Linked DNA regions of Oryzias latipes. Each later gene encodes a partner of the first gene's protein in a complex. Links are inferred from orthologs where the notes say so. Each region holds a gene or a part of one and is shown in the gene's direction. Other genes may lie near its edges.

Region 1 (7,960 bases):
GATCCTGCAATCTTTAAATTTACATATTTGGTGTTTTCAGTTGTATTATAGATTGTATTATTTTTACCTGTTTTGTTTGATAAAAAATCACCAAAAAAAGAAGAAAAATCTCATGCAATACTTAGTCATCTAATTAAATAGTGGACGCAGGTGTTCTCGGTTGCCAGGCAACCGCCGGACAACGACAGCCCTGTCTCCAAGCGTGTGGTCGCCAAGTGGAAAATCTAGAGTTGAGTGATAAAATAATATAAAAAATTGAAATGGACCGATACCGACGCCAGGTTAGACTCCGTCGTGACAGTGGCTTCCCCAAAAAAAGAGACACTCCACTGAAACCGACACGCTGGAGGCGAGACCGTAAGAAACAAACATTTCAGACCTAACGTGAAGTTTTGAATCTTAAGCGGAAATGACGTCGTTCACTGAACTCCCCCCCCCCCCAGGTATTTTTTGTTGTTGTTTTTCTTGTTGTAATCCCACACCCAACTACATCACTTGTTTCAGGAAATAGGAGACTTCTTCCGAACAAACATTTTGACACTTTAGTGGAGGAATGTGAAGATGGTGGCACGAGTTTCTCCACAGGTCGACGCGCAGGCGCAGTGTTGGTAAGTTTGCAAAATAAAGTGCACCAACTCCCAGTTTAACTCTGGAAATATAAACAACGTTTAATTGAGAAAGTAAACAAAAATATTCAATATTTAATAGATTAATATTAAATATTAAAAGAAAACTGAGTCTATTTTAGAAATGTTCAGAAATTGAGAATCTATTGTATTTTGTTTTAAAATCAATCTTTTGCAGAATAGTCTTTTTAAGGGTATTACAAGAATCCTTAGTCTACGCTGAAAGTGAGGTAGTATAATTGAAGTTTACTTTCATATACTATCAATATATTTGAAACTTGAAATGTTCCAATTTAGTCTGAAAAAGTATTCATTGAGCGTATTTCCTACACCACATGTATTATCTATAGCTATACCTACCTAAGTAAACCTAATACAGTAAACATCAAGTGTACTAATTTTTTCGGAAGGGAACCTTTTGCAAAAAGTTGTCTTTTCCAAGAGTTCTAAAAGTATACTTAGTCTGCACTAAAAGTGGGGTAATAAAGTTTACTTTCAAATACTATCAATTTATTGTAAACGTAAAATGTTCCAATTAAGTCTGAAGAAGTATTTAGTTGGTATACTACCTACACTACATGCACATAGTCTATGGTATTGCTTGACTTATACTTAAGTATACTTAATAAAATAGATGTAACAGATGTAATAGATATAACCAATAAACTTTGAGTTTCCTACTTTTTGCTTAGAACAGTTCTAATTTGACCGTGTACAGTTGCCATGTTATTTTTCCAGACTTCCCTACTATTCTTTGTACTTGCAGGCCAACACTGCGCCTCTCCATCGCGTTTCAGTGTCATGCTTTAAACCTTGTAAAAAAACTGCAACTCCTATTAACCGTCAAAAAATTTTGCAAACAAGCAATGCAAGCAATAAAGCTTCTCCAATACTTCAGTCTTTTGGAGCTGGAGACACTCCAGAAAGTGTCACATCTTTTGTCATGGAAACAAGCTCAACGTCTAACTCAGAGGAGCATGGCGACAGCAGATCCTCCTCTACCTCGACAAACCTAAGCAGTTATCCCTCCCCAGAGATTTTCAGAAGAGAAGGTAGTGGTTTTTGTGTGTGGCTTCAAATCTACCCAGAAATATTTGTGTTTCTTCTGGACAGTTTGTCATATTTTTCATGGCTTGTTTCAGCAGTGGAAACACAGACTTTCCTTAATGGAGAGGAGATGCTTGGGATTATCTGTAATGTTAAAAACTCTACCCTGCTGGATGAAAGCCATTCAAAGAGCATCCACACGTATCATCCACCCAACATGTCCACTATTATAGGTGAAAACTTGAAAAAAATATTGAAATGACAACCTGAACTTTTTTTCAACTTGAATTCAATAATTACAATAGTTTTTGTGTTTAGATGTATCCACACACGTTGCTGAAAAGAACAGTGAGAGCAGGTGAGTGGATATATTAATACTGCATTAAAAAATTTATGAAATGATTTTAAATGTTGTTTCAGTGCTGACATCTTTGGAAAGAAAGCTGTTGTGCAATTAATATTTAATCAACCAGTCTTTTCCCCCCCTACAAAGCTACCAGAAGGAAACTCACACTGAAAGTAAGATACAAATTGATTCATTTAATTTAGGAAATATTTTTAAGCTACATGATTTATAAGTTTCTCTGTTTTTATAGTATTAAATCCATTTTTATAACCAAATTATACCTATGTTTTTTTGTAATCTGCATCTACAGATAAATCTCAGGAGATGAAACCTGCACAAGATGTAAGAAAAATATGTGTTACTTCATCATTTTAAATGTTTTTTGTTAATCAACTGTGTTTTTTCAGTAGCAGTTGAATAATTGTGTTTTTGCCCTAGTTTGTTGGGAGAAGGCCCATAGTGTGCAGAAAAAGGGTATCATTCAAAAGCCCGGTCATTTCTGAGCCTCTGAAAGAAAAACATGCTCCATCACCTTCAGGCATAAATGACACCATCCGGAAACTATCCCGAGTTTCTGAGCGGACGAAACCAGATGCACAGACGCCCAAAATGGATGAAATCAGCTCTAAAAAAGAAATAACGGTGACCCCAAAAAGGCCTGTTGAGACTGAGAAAACCATGTTCTTTGACTTTACCAGCAACGCTGACATGGATGCTCTCTTTCAGAACATGAGAGATAGAAGTGCAAAACTTAGGTGCTCATTTTATTTTCCTTTTACTGTAGGCACCCAAAGCCCTCTGCGTAATAAAAGCAGATCTGAGTTAACCTGAAGTTAACTCTGATACTACAGTGTACAGTTGCACAACATAGTTTTTGCCTAAATGACAATATAAAAACATGATTGGAACGAACATGCTCTCTGTGAGAAATGACTCTGACTTTAGAAGACATGGATAAATTAATAAAACAAATACAATGGCAAATAAAGAGAACTAGCTCATAAATTAGTTTGATATAAAACATGAATGCCTTCAAAACAGTAAATGTTTGTATTTTCTTTTTCAGTATAGGACATCAAGAAAATAAACATACTAATAAGAGTTTTTAAACCTTATAAAACTATACAAGATGTGGGTATATTTTAATATGTAATGTGTGTTTCTATAGCTTTGTTTCTTCTGTAACCTCTTTTAATGTATCTGCATATTATATAAAGCAAAAACAATGTTAGAGCCTGTATTTTTAATGTTTGCATGTAATCCAAATGTGTTGTGAATGTTGAACACTAGGTGGCGCATCTGTATCAGTTTTCTTGTCCTCTTTAAAAAATAAAAATAAATATAACACGTGTTAAACGTATGCCAACGTTTTTATTTTAATATTCAAAATTCTATAAATGTTTTTTCAATAATCCTTTGAATATCAGGTTGTTACATTTTTGAAAGGTGTCTTTTTGATAAAAATGAGAATGCGCAAATTAGTCAAAATAGTAAAACCTTCATCTTTTGTATAATTTACAACTGTGAAATAAAAACTATTTAAAATTAAATTACGTTCTGTAAACATTAATATATATGTCAATGTATTCCACTGTATACGTACAATTTAGGATTTTTTTGTTTTGTTTTTAAAAGGATATTTGTGAAATAAGTGTTAAATTTATAGCATGTTTCTGTCCGAAGTTCAACCGGTGTAAAAGACTAAATTTAGTGACGTAACGATTCTAGACAAAACATCAACACGGAAAAGTCTGTGGTCACGTGGTTCCAGTCCAAAAATATAAGCCAATCGCGTAGTTTGTAGTAGCAGCCGTATCTGGTTAGCCAATCAGGAAAATGTAGATGGTTACCAAGGTGCTCCTGTGACTAATGCCTGTCATATGACTGACACCCATGGAGACAGTTACAAGGAACAAAATTTGCTTGTGGATTTGAAAAGAACGGGTATCCGTGCCGAATTCGTTGTGGGAACAAAATGCCTCCAACTCTTTTCCACAAACTTTTCAACAAGAAGAATGCATTTTCATCGCCACCACCTAGATGCAGCAAAGAAGACGTCGCTTTCAGGTAGCTGTCCTGTGTGTGTTTGTTCGGGGTTTGTGTGTGTAATGTTGTGTGCGCTATTTATTTATTTATTAAATTCACTGTATTGTTTGGTAAGAAAGTATAACTTCGGGTGGTAAATGTTTAGGAAGTGTGGCTTCTAAATAGCCCCTGTGCACCTCTTTGTATACAAGTAAAGTAAAGTACGTGGGATACGTGTTGTGACTGTTGTTGCGGGAAGCTAGCATGCTAATGCTAACAACTAGCCGAGCTGCAGGACACGCTTTCTTGGTGCGACTTGGCTCAATATCGATCTCATCCCAAACATTTAAACCAATATTGTTCCGTGTATGACGTGATTTTGTAGCTAAAACAAACTCTGAGCTTTTAGCGAGTCTGTGTTTGTTGCTTATAGAAGTTATAAGGGAGCAGTGTGCCGCTCTTTTTCCTTTGTTTCTCCTCGTGCCTCCCTTTCTGTGTCTTTGGCAGTAATTGAGCGCGTGCAGGGCAGCGCAGACCCTCTCCCGTGTTGCTCATCTTTGCTGAACGTGGAGCAAAGTACACAGATGATATTGTATTCCGCCGTTTCGGTCTGATAGAGGGAGGACACAGTGTGCTCTGTCGGATGACATGTGAAAGCTTCCGTGGCCCGTTTGGAGATGCAGAATTGACGGTCCGGATCTGCTTCTGAACCAACAGTTCTCACATGGGATGCCTTTGCGAATATATGATGGCACTTTGAAATAAACGGACAAAATGACCTCTTTTACATATAAATGCACAATAAAACAGCAAAACTTGTAACAATTTCATTGTATTTATTTATTTTTAGAAATTGAGACACAAAGAACTCCACCAGAATTGTCTGGGTTAAAAGTGACTATTGCTTTACACCAATAAAAACATGTTTTTCATGCAAAAGCAACTTTATTATATGCAAATATTTTGATATTTTATTGCATCTCCACTTTTATTACTCTTAAATCGCTAGTTATATGAAAAAGGGTTGTGGAACTGTACATTTAAAAATTAAAGAAAAAATGCTGGAGCATCACCTCAGAAATGTATTTTGCTTGTATACAAATCTTTAAAAAAAATATTCTCATGTTGCAGTGCTTTGTTTTGTTTTCCCTAACCAGTAATGATCCATATTTGGTCAGAAAAAGAAAATAAATGCCTTTTCACCTTTTTTTCCCCCATATCAGATTATTTTGTTTTATTTCTGCTGATGTTAACTACCTTTTAATAATTTAATTTATCTTTTTAATGATGTATTTTATATTCCTATTATCAGATACTGCAAAAGCAGTGTCTATTGAGGCAAAATCTAGTATGTTTTACAACTATCTATTAGTAAAAATAAAGTAATCAAAAATTGCTTTCCACTGCATTCGTGCATAAACAGATTGCAAAATAAATGTTCATATATTTTTAATACTGCTTTCAAAAAAGTATTTCAAAATATATTTTTGAATTAGGATTATGAACTAAATGTATTTGGACTAAAGTGATGTCTGTACTATAGTTTGCTAAAGTTATGTCATGTTTGAGTTGATTAGAACTAAAAGTTGACTTTTACTTTATTACTGTCGCTGTATTTGATAAAATACTACACCGAAATTATTTTTCTAGGATAGTCTAGGATAGTCTAGCACACCTTCTAGATGAGAGTAATGTATGCTTTGAATGGGGAATCTTTGAATTTCTACGTTTTTACTGGGCAATGTCGCATGTTGTCCTTTAACTGTGAATTATTTGTGGTCATGAAAGCTCATCTTCTTGTTAGGCTGCTGGCACTTTACCCAGCATGGGCTATAGCACATCTGATGGCCAGAAAGGTGATTTAAAAAAAAGTGACGCATGTGTAAATGTGTAATTAGGCTTAGTAGTTGGTGTTGGTTGGCATCAGTCTAGAGCAAACAGACAGCAGGCGGTTCTGTTAACTCTGTGGTCAGCTGTGCTCTTCATACCTCTGGCTAAAGCTTCCCCCATTCATCAACCATGAAATGGCTCTGAAGGGGAGAAATCTGTCTATAGACAGTAGGGAAAGGACACTTGGGTGCTAATATTTATGACTAGTGTAGTTTTACATACAAGGGATACTGAATGAATGTTTTCCGAGTTAAAGAAAATACATTTTTTTAAAGTATCTTTCATTAGAATGTGTATGAGGAACAGCTGGACTGGAGAAAGTTTCAGGTTAATTCAGTCACCAGTGAGAAATCTGTTTTAAATGCTGTTATAAGTAGCCTGGGTTAGTTATTATTAGTTATTTGGAGGTTCCTGGCACTTTGTCCTAGAAACTCCAAACCTGAATCCTAAGTCTGACTGAATAAAGGAACTAGAACATCTAATACAATCACACAAATAAGTTTGACTGAACTTAGTCTTTGTTCACATCTTGCTGCCCTACATTAAGCGTCAACAACCAAAAACATAATCGGACCGCATCATTGTGGCTTTCAAAATACCACAGAGGGTAGAGGGTTGGCTCACCCTGCAGTAAAGCCTAAAAGCCTCTCTTGTTTCCATAGCTGCAACTCCTGAGCCATGGAAAGCGTACTGTACGATACGCCGAGAGTTTCTGGCTCATCTGCAGCCGGTCTCCAGTGCCGCGACTCAGATTGCTTGTCACGGGAGCCTGCTGAGGAAACCCTCCCTCTTGACCTGTGTCATGCAGCTCCTTAAAAATAAGCTTGTGCTGAAATGTGTGGAGTCTGTAGAAGCAATACACAGGAATTAATAATAATAAAAAAACTTTTTACATTTATGTTATGTTTAAGGAAAAAACTTTTTTTTATTTTTAGATGTTCAAAAATTACGCAGAACTTTATTATTATTATTTTTTTGGAGATTTATTTTTTTTATTGATGCAAAATTCATAATTGCAACTACGTGAACTTTTATATTTTTAATAGCAACGACATGATTCTCAGAATACTTGTCCACATTTAGAAATGCTTGACATTGCAGAAGGCTTTGCAAAGTTTTAAGCTGCATGGAACGTATTTATAGTGGTCATTTCATTAATGATGGTTCAGGAGAAGACGTTTCTCAGGTTCCTGACTGGAATAGGATCTTTCCCCTACTACATGGTTTCAGAATGTGGTGTGTCATGTGAGGTTTTCATCAAGCTGGGCCTGTCATGTTTCTGGAATGATCACATGGCTGTGGTCACAGCCATAGCTGGATAAGCAAAGACAGACTTTTGGATGTTAATGAAGAATGCATATTTTGTAACCTGTGTGTCTGTTGGGTTAAGTAGACCCCTCTTTTAATACACACTTTTAAAAGCATTTATTTTTTATCATCCATTATTGGTGAATTCTATCAGATCCTATTGTGTATGTGCAAAAGTGATTCGTACATAACTTTTTTTTTTTTTTTTTTTTTTTTTTTGCAATATGTGTTATTGATTATTTTGAATTTTTGTTCTATACTGTAGGATAAATGGAAAGAGAAGTGGTCTTATTATAGTAGAAGAAGTCTGACCTCTATTCCATAAGCAGCTCAATTTGGAGCAATGCTTTTAATTTATTTTCATTTAAATGTCCTATACCATGTAAAATCAACTTTTTTGAGCTTCTAGGTGTATTATAGTTCTCATTCTTCACAACAACAAAAAAGCAGTAATTTGACCCATTTACGCACTTCTGCATACTCCTCTAAAAACCTGTGCTCTAAACACCAGCCCCTCCCAACCCATGAAAACAAGCGGGTTCTCACATTGTGACGTAGAGTGAGCCCCGCCCTTCCAGGAAGCGTCTGTGCTGCCAGCACCGCCCCCAGGCTAACACTCACACACCCACTTTCTCAGTGGAGCTAACGGTGATCGACCAAACGCTTTCATTTTATTTTCACATGCATCTTTGGAAAAGTTCGGACGTTGTTTGTTTTC
Region 2 (7,704 bases), on another chromosome or scaffold:
CTCTTCTTCTTCGGCCTCCTTTGCTGGGGGACTCGTTGAACCTTCCCTCTTCGTTTCTCTCTGGTCCGTGGAGTGGTCCACATGACTGACTGCCGCCCCCGTGCTTCAGTGAAGCACGAGCTGATGGACGCAGACGTGGACTTCCTGCCAGAGCGGGCAGAAGAGACTGTCTAGACTTTATCACAGGAGGGTCCTTTTAAAGTTCTGCTTCACCTTTCCCACGTCTGCTCTGGAGAGCCTTTTCAGATCTGTTTAGCTCCGCCCCCTGATGGCGTCACACAGACAGTAAGGAGCGCTTTAATCACACATTCCTGGGTTGATGACGTTCTTCTGATCTAAGGAGGAACGTCTGGAGGAGGAGGAGAAGCTCCTCAGAAGTCTTTTCGATGAAGTCATCTGTGAGAACACCGTCCATCTTCTTCCCCTGAATGTTTTTTCTCCAACTGTGTGTTTTCTGAATGATGACATTATAATAAACATGTGTGTGATATGTTTGTAAAGGCTGGTTGTCATAATCAAAATGTTCATGTCAACTAATCAACACACAGAGAAACTTCTGAAGATTCACCTTTAAAAACGGATGGTTTCATTGAGACGGAAGCAGAAGCTCTTCATGGCTCCTCCAGAAGAGGGGGGACGGGTGGGACGGGACGGCGTGATGGCGGGGCAGCAGTGAAGCTGCAGAATATGTTTCAGACCTGATGAGTCCTGCTGTGTGTCCGACTGCTCTGACCTTCACGTCTCCACGCTCTGCTCCTCTGCAGCTTCCATCGTCTCTTCAGCCGCTGCATGAGACCTTTTTGAACCTGGGACTTATGTCAGACCCAGATCCCCTCTGAACCGGTCCAGCAGGTTCCTGTGGTCTGAATGGATTCCCTTGAAGCTCCTTCAGACCACGCCCACATTTCCATGTTTGTGTTTGCACCGAAGACCGTTTTCTAGGAGAACAGCTTCCTTTTTCCAAATACCTCTCATACATGAACTCTTTCATGTCTGTGTCTGGGCTTTTTTCCCCTAAAACTACATTTGACAATTGGAAGATGAACGTTTGAAGATTTAGTTCACGTCTCACCTGTTCTGAAGAACATGATCAGAAACCTTCTCCTGCCTGAGCTGCAGTGCCTGGAATGTCCTGGAAACAAAGGACCCTGGAGGTGACGACACCCACCTGAGCAATCCACACAGAAAGAAACAACCGATCTGGAGGAGGCAGCTCTGCTGAAAAAAGAACTAATGACTTTTATTGGGCAAATGTTACTGATGGATGGACTGACGACGGGCTTTCAGCAGGGACAGCAAGACAGTATAATAATCTATAATAAGGGATGTTACAATACCGGACAAATAAATCAATATATTGTATCTGATTGGAGACCAAATACTAATATTTTCTTGTAGGTGGCAGTAGCTGCGAAATATTTTAGCTGTGTTTAGAATAAGTTTAAAAGAAATTTCCAATTCAAAATAATTGGAAAATAAAGTTTTAGTCAACTTTATTGAAATATGTTGCCAGCACATTTCGATCAGTTGTAAGTAATGTTAGAATCTTCACTTAGTCCAGAACTATGATGGAGGTTCTAATATATTTTCTATCTACATTTTTCCCAGTCAAAAGAAGACAAAAAACATTAGACTTGGTTTGACCATGGATGAACCATGACGTCTGACCACCAGCAGGGGGAGCAGAGAGCACACGGCAGTTTAAAACAGCGAAGAAGAAGCGTCACGTGACAGCGAAGAAGAAGCGTCACGTGACTGCAGCTCTTTGGAAATTCACGGTGGTAGCATCAGCTGATTGTTTGTTTAAACGTTCAGAGGACCGAGCTCACTGTGGAAACGCTCCGGACGGGCTCGTCGTGTTTTGGATTCGGAGCCGGCGGTTCTCCTGACTTCCTGTGACGGAACCGGCTTGGGTCCTCGGAGCTGCCATGGCGGACGTGAGTCTGTCTGTCCTCCTTTAGCACCTCCTGTTCTGTTAGGCTTCACTAAAAACTCTTTAGTTTTTGGGAAGATGCTCAAAGTTCACTATTCTCTTCTAATTACAAAAACACACAGTATCATGTGGGATGGTTTGTAGGTGATAAATTATTTCATTTGGCATTTAATATTGTATTAATGTTTCATTCACAACAGCAAATTCTTAAAAAAAAATCAAACCATTACTTAATAAATTTTAGAGAGAGATATGTTTTTTTTAATCACTAAAGTTTATTAAAACAAAAGTGCAAAACAGATAAGCTGTGTAACAACCCTTAGTTTTATATTACATTTGTATTAGACTACAGTCCTAATTTTCATCTTTATTTCTTTCTGTTCTATACATGTGGATATGTTGTGTTAAAAACAGACGCTCTACAGAGGTCACGTGACATTTTTCCATTAACTGTTTATGAGAACTAGACTGGGTGACTCCTCCCCCTGGCTGTCCAAACAGGAAGTACCTGTTGGCTCCAAGAAGCCAGAATCCCATAGACTTCTTTGGAGAAATTAACAGCGGTTACTCGGTCACTATTGTCAGTAATGCTGGGTGAAAATGGTGGTGGGGAGACCAGGATCTTCTCTGACGGTTTGAAGCTCTAAAGCTCACAGACGTCCACGTTCTTGACTGTTTCTGAGGTTGCTCCTTAACTCTTTATGCTCCCGTCTGCAGGATCTGAAGAGGTTCCTGTACAAACAGATGCAGAGGTGAGGCTTTTGTCCCTTATTGTTATTGCACAAAGTGATTTACTTTAACTATATAACAAGAAAAAAAAATCTGTATTATAAATCAAATCTCTTTTCTCAAAAAAGAGTTTTTGTATCTTATATCACATGTAAATAGTAGTTTTCTGTGTCCTCAGTGTTGACGGGCTTCACGCTATCGTGGTGACGGACCGAGACGGCGTCCCGGTAATCAAAGGTGAGACTTCTTCTGTTTCGGGTTTTCTGTTCCAATAAACTGTGTTTTAATAACTTATTAGAAATACTTTTGGCCTCAGGGCCAACCTGCTACTCAACAGGAACGCTTTATCCTCAGCCTCAGCAGCTTCTTGTTGTGGCAGTAGTTTCATGGTTTGGGGTGACTCAGCTCTGGCTCCACTCGTACGAGTTTAGGTTAGAAGTCACCAAAGTAGAGCAGAAAATGGATCTAAAAGACTCATTCATCTGCATTTTAGGGGTCAAACTGTTGGGGATTTTTCTGACTTTTTTTTCTGGCCCTGGTCTTTGAACGCACCGCTCACCAGCAGGAAGTCCTCATCCTAACACGCCTGCTTGTTTTCCTCCAGTTGCCAACGACAGCGTTCCGGTGCACGCGCTCAGACCGGGCTTCCTGTCCACGTTCGCTCTGGCCACGGATCAGGGGAGCAAGCTGGGCCTCTCCAAGAACAAGAGCATCATCTGCTACTACAACACCTACCAGGTGACCCCTCCCAGCATCACCGCGTGGGGGCGTGGCAGCCGGAACACCGGCGCCTTTCACCCGCGCTCGCTTCATCCGGTTCCTGCCAGTTTGTGTCCGGTCCGGGTCAGATCCAGAACCAGACTCTAGTCTCCATCGTCTCTTATAGTAACAAACTTCCTGTTTGTAAACTTTTGGGGGTGGGATTAAGAGAATAGCCTCACATAAAAGCAGAGTGAGACGGACTGAAATGAGATGATCCATGGGAGTCGGATCACAACAGAAGCACTAGAGCAGGTTCTGTAAATGTCAGAGGGTTCTGAGAGTAAAGAAGAACTTCTGCTGGGACAGAGAGGAGAAAAGTCTGCAAACGTTATCCTCTGATGGAGCAGACAAAACGTCCAGCAGAGGAAAATCTCAGAATCTGTTGGTCTTCTTTTGTTTTTCATGATTTGTTAAGCCAGCTGAACTTTTTCCTGAGTTTTTTTAAGAAAAATCAGAGAAGTGAAAATATTTGGGTTTTTTTTATTGCTAAGTAAAAAAAAAAACCAAATCACTCTGATGGATTCCTTCTGCTCTGAACCAGCCTAACCCGGCCAATCTCCATGGTAACCAGACTCTGCTCTGGTTCTGCCTTTGTGACCCGTCTGCTGTCTCTGCTCGACAGATCATGCAGTTTAACCGCCTGCCGCTGGTCGTCAGCTTCATCGCCAGCAGCAGCGCCAACACAGGTGAGATGAGGAGGCGTGTCTGAGGAGCCCCGCCCACTGGTTATCTGCAGTCTGTTTGATGTTCTCTGAACAGAGCGTGTCTTAAAATGATCTCAGTCTTCATCTCCGTGCACCCCGCTGTTCGTGTGTAGCTTATTGCTGCATCGTGGGGAAGGAGAAATATCGCCATGGAAACGCAAAAACTTTTACCTGAGGCCTTTTCATCATCCAAATGAAAGAAAGCAGAGAAAGTGACTCAGCATCATCGTCCAAAATATGTTGCAATGTGGTAATACTGGCATTTAAAATACGGCTCAAGAGCCAAGAAGTTGAAGTTTATCTGAGAAAAAACCCGACATTTCAGATCATTTAGTCTGACGGGAATCTCCAGGAATGTTCTGGATTATATTTAGTGAAAAGAAGAAAAAAAGTTCTTGTCAAACCCCTTCTGACAAAAGATGAATCCTGTGAGTCTGACCCATCCTGCAGACTCAGGTGGGAGGGGCCTAATCAAAACCTAGAGTGAGCCCTCCCCCCCTGGCGTTCCAAACAGGAAGTACCTAATCCTACAGAGAAATAGACAGCTGTTACTCAGTCTTTTGATCCGAGTAAGTATTCTTACTCGGATACATTTTTTTTATGATCGTCATATTTTTCTGTGGTTCAAGTTATAAACTGACCAATCAGATAAGAGTATCCATTCGACAGATTTCATGTCTTTTAAGTGGTGGTAGGGGTGTGGAGTTCCAACAAGCTCACTCCTGATTGGTGAGAGTGGTTGCCATAGAAACATGGACTCAGATTGACTTATCGCTGCTTATATATCCTGAAAAAATGGCGAGTGAATTGACTTCATGTGGTTGGAGCTGGAGGTAAACCATTTTCTCTGTGTGATGTCACATTCAGTCCAGTGCTCATATGCAGTCAGGGGATTCTCCAGATAAACCTGATCCTGACCAGGGTAGGGTCAGATTGTTTCCATAGCAACAGACTCCAGTTAGGAGCCATCCAGCTTTGTGAAAATGAATCCATCTGGTTTTTCACACGAGTGGGAGGCGTTTTGTAAAAACCCTCCTTTTCTGTCCTCAGGCCTCATCATGACTCTGGAGAAGGAGCTGGCTCCTCTGATGGAGGAGCTGAGGCAGGTGGTGGAGGTCACATAAAGTCCCATGATGCTTTGCTAAGAAAACCCGCCTACAGTTTCTACCGTCGCCTCTGCTGCAAACTTCTCACCTTGCGTTGTCATTTCTAACTCTTGAATAAAAGCTTTTCCATCAGGAGCTCCACTGTTTGTTTTTTTCTCTGAGAAGAGTGAAGAACCACAAAAGCGTCCCACGCTGAAGATGATTCTCATGATTCCAAAATTATTGGTTAGGTTGGAACGTAAAAAAATGGAATTAAAATCTGACAAAAACTTTTAAAAAAAAACAAAGAAATCACTTTTATATTTCATTTACATTCACAATATGACAAACAGTCATGTTTGGTGTAATCTGAAAAATATAATCCACGTTTTTCTCGTCTCTGATATTCAGATTAACTTTAACCCTTGTGCTATCCTATGGGGTCCAGATGACCCCACCCTTACACCCCACCCCCCCACCTCCATCTGAGATATTTTTTGAAGTCAAACTTTCAGTGTCTTTACAGTGATTTAAATATTTATTCTAAAACAGCAAATATAATACACAACTAAAGTGAGGTGGGGATCTATTTTGAACAACATGAATCTATACAACATTCCTCTGGTCCACTTTAGCTGAAACTCCAGAACAAACAGAAGGCTTTTCTGACCAAAATACTTTGGATATTTTTTCAGTCTTTAACATACAGCCGACAGTCGATCCTCAGCACCTGAACTCAAACAGTTTTTCAAAATAAATGCACTTTTTTGAGGAGGATGTTGGGTTCCATCAGCGGTCAGGACCGTCTTCTGCAGCCGGAGCGCTTTCCGGTCCGTCATCGACCTTTTCTCGTCTGTGACTGCAAACAAACACGAGGCCGTGAACAACATGAGCCACAGCGACGGAGGCCTGAAGAGCACAAACAAACCCAACAGATTCATGGCCTGAAAGCTACAAAAACGTGCACATAAACCTCTGTCTGCAGAGCTAAGTGACTGTCTCAACTCCCAGCATCTCCATCTCTAAAACATACGTCTTAATGGTGTTTTTTTTTTATTTCTTTACAAACCAAACCTCTTATTCAAACTTTTCCTATGGGGACATTTCATGGGGGGTGCTCTGGATGTTTGGCAGACATGAACCCATTAACCCTTGTTCTATCCTATGACCCCACCCTTGCATTGACGTGTTGGGATGCCTGTGGGAGGGGCTAAGCCTTCATAAGGGGTGAACTTACTTTTCCCAGTTGAGGGAGAGCGGTCTTGGTTGCAGTGGTGGCAACAGGCTCTCCCGAAATCAGCTGAATTTATTGTCTGATTTTTCTTTTCTTTTTCTTTTTTTTTGGGGGGGGGGGGGTCAATAAAATCCCATTTTTGAAATTTTGAGTCTGCTGGCTTGGGCATCTTATTTCAGAGTGATTTATTTTTTTGCTGCTGAGAAGAACCCCGTCACAGCCACTGAGCTAAATACATTTGCACGCATATCCCGTTCTGTTAATGTCACTCTGGGGAGGGGCCAAAGTTGAAGATTCTACTTGTAAAAAACAAATCTAGAAAGTCACCAAAAGGAGCATTTTTGTTTTCAGCGTGCACTTATTTGACAAGGAGTTGCCAAAAGGCATCATTACTAACTGCTCTTGGAAAATATTATAGATGTAGAATTTATAACTTATTACACACATCATTGGAACACAAACACAGTTTTTCCTTTTTATACGTATAAGCGTTTATATTTAGCATTGATGTTTATTTTCATATTTAGCATATATATCAGAGTGCTTTTAAATGTCACATATATGTGTGGGAAATTCTGCCTCACAGGTAATAGAAATGTTAGAAAAATTGATTACCGTAATTTCCGGACTACAAGCCGCTACTTTTTTCCTGCGCTTACAGTCCTGCGGCTTATTCAGTGACGCGGCTAATTATTGGACTTTATTGGCGGCCGCCGTGTACGTATTTTTGGACACAGTGAATAGTTTGAATTCTCTAACATCAAACACAAGTCATTTGTTTTTCAACACACCTCTAAGCAGCCAAACAGCATGGACTTGACTTCAGGTCTTAGACACTTCAGTCATGGTTCAACAAAACGAAACACGCATGTCCAGCCGCATCCCAGAATCCTTTGGTGCCATTAGACCCAACGTGCACGTGATCGCCGCTACAATATGATGAAGCTTTCAAGTTAAAAGCAATCGTTAAAAGCAGCGTGAAAAAATCACCAACGGGTTTGGAAAAGCCGGTCAGCTGCGTGACGGAGAGAACAGCGCATGCTCAGGAGTGCATTTACCTCTGAGTCATAGTGACTCGGCTGGCTGCACGTAAATATGTGGCAATAATATCAGCCTTTATTTTGTCGGGACACGACTGGAAACACAAATTGACGTGGTCGTGTTAACGGTTTCTAAGGACTGAGCAGAGATTTGCATTGAAACGCTCACAGCCTCCGTGTGAGCTGGAGACTGCGTGTCGTGTGAGCTGCGGGGCCG

Evidence for each region. Proteins that work in one complex are often made in the same cells at the same time.
Region 2: fnip1 (region 1) and lamtor3 share a complex: the UniProt entries of both Homo sapiens proteins name them as parts of the lysosomal folliculin complex. The link is inferred for Oryzias latipes from reciprocal best matches to the Homo sapiens genes FNIP1 and LAMTOR3.

What each region holds. Positions count from the first base shown.
Region 1 is NC_019872.2:4,917,057-4,925,016, reverse strand, and holds the start of fnip1 (folliculin-interacting protein 1), read left to right. Parts: upstream 1-3,879; 5' UTR 3,880-3,994; coding exon 3,995-4,086; intron 4,087-7,960. Other genes in the region: uncharacterized protein LOC101165494, read left to right, coding at 261-357, 505-608, 1,393-1,678, 1,769-1,906, 1,992-2,031, 2,167-2,192, 2,330-2,361, 2,458-2,850. UniProt on the Homo sapiens protein: Binding partner of the GTPase-activating protein FLCN: involved in the cellular response to amino acid availability by regulating the non-canonical mTORC1 signaling cascade controlling the MiT/TFE factors TFEB and TFE3.
Region 2 is NC_019880.2:24,348,267-24,355,970, forward strand, and holds lamtor3 (ragulator complex protein LAMTOR3), read left to right. Parts: upstream 1-2,467; 5' UTR 2,468-2,533; coding exon 2,534-2,566; intron 2,567-2,650; coding exon 2,651-2,685; intron 2,686-2,840; coding exon 2,841-2,899; intron 2,900-3,266; coding exon 3,267-3,400; intron 3,401-4,046; coding exon 4,047-4,110; intron 4,111-5,178; coding exon 5,179-5,252; 3' UTR 5,253-5,369; downstream 5,370-7,704. Other genes in the region: dapp1 (dual adapter for phosphotyrosine and 3-phosphotyrosine and 3-phosphoinositide), read right to left, coding at 6,003-6,122. UniProt on the Homo sapiens protein: As part of the Ragulator complex it is involved in amino acid sensing and activation of mTORC1, a signaling complex promoting cell growth in response to growth factors, energy levels, and amino acids.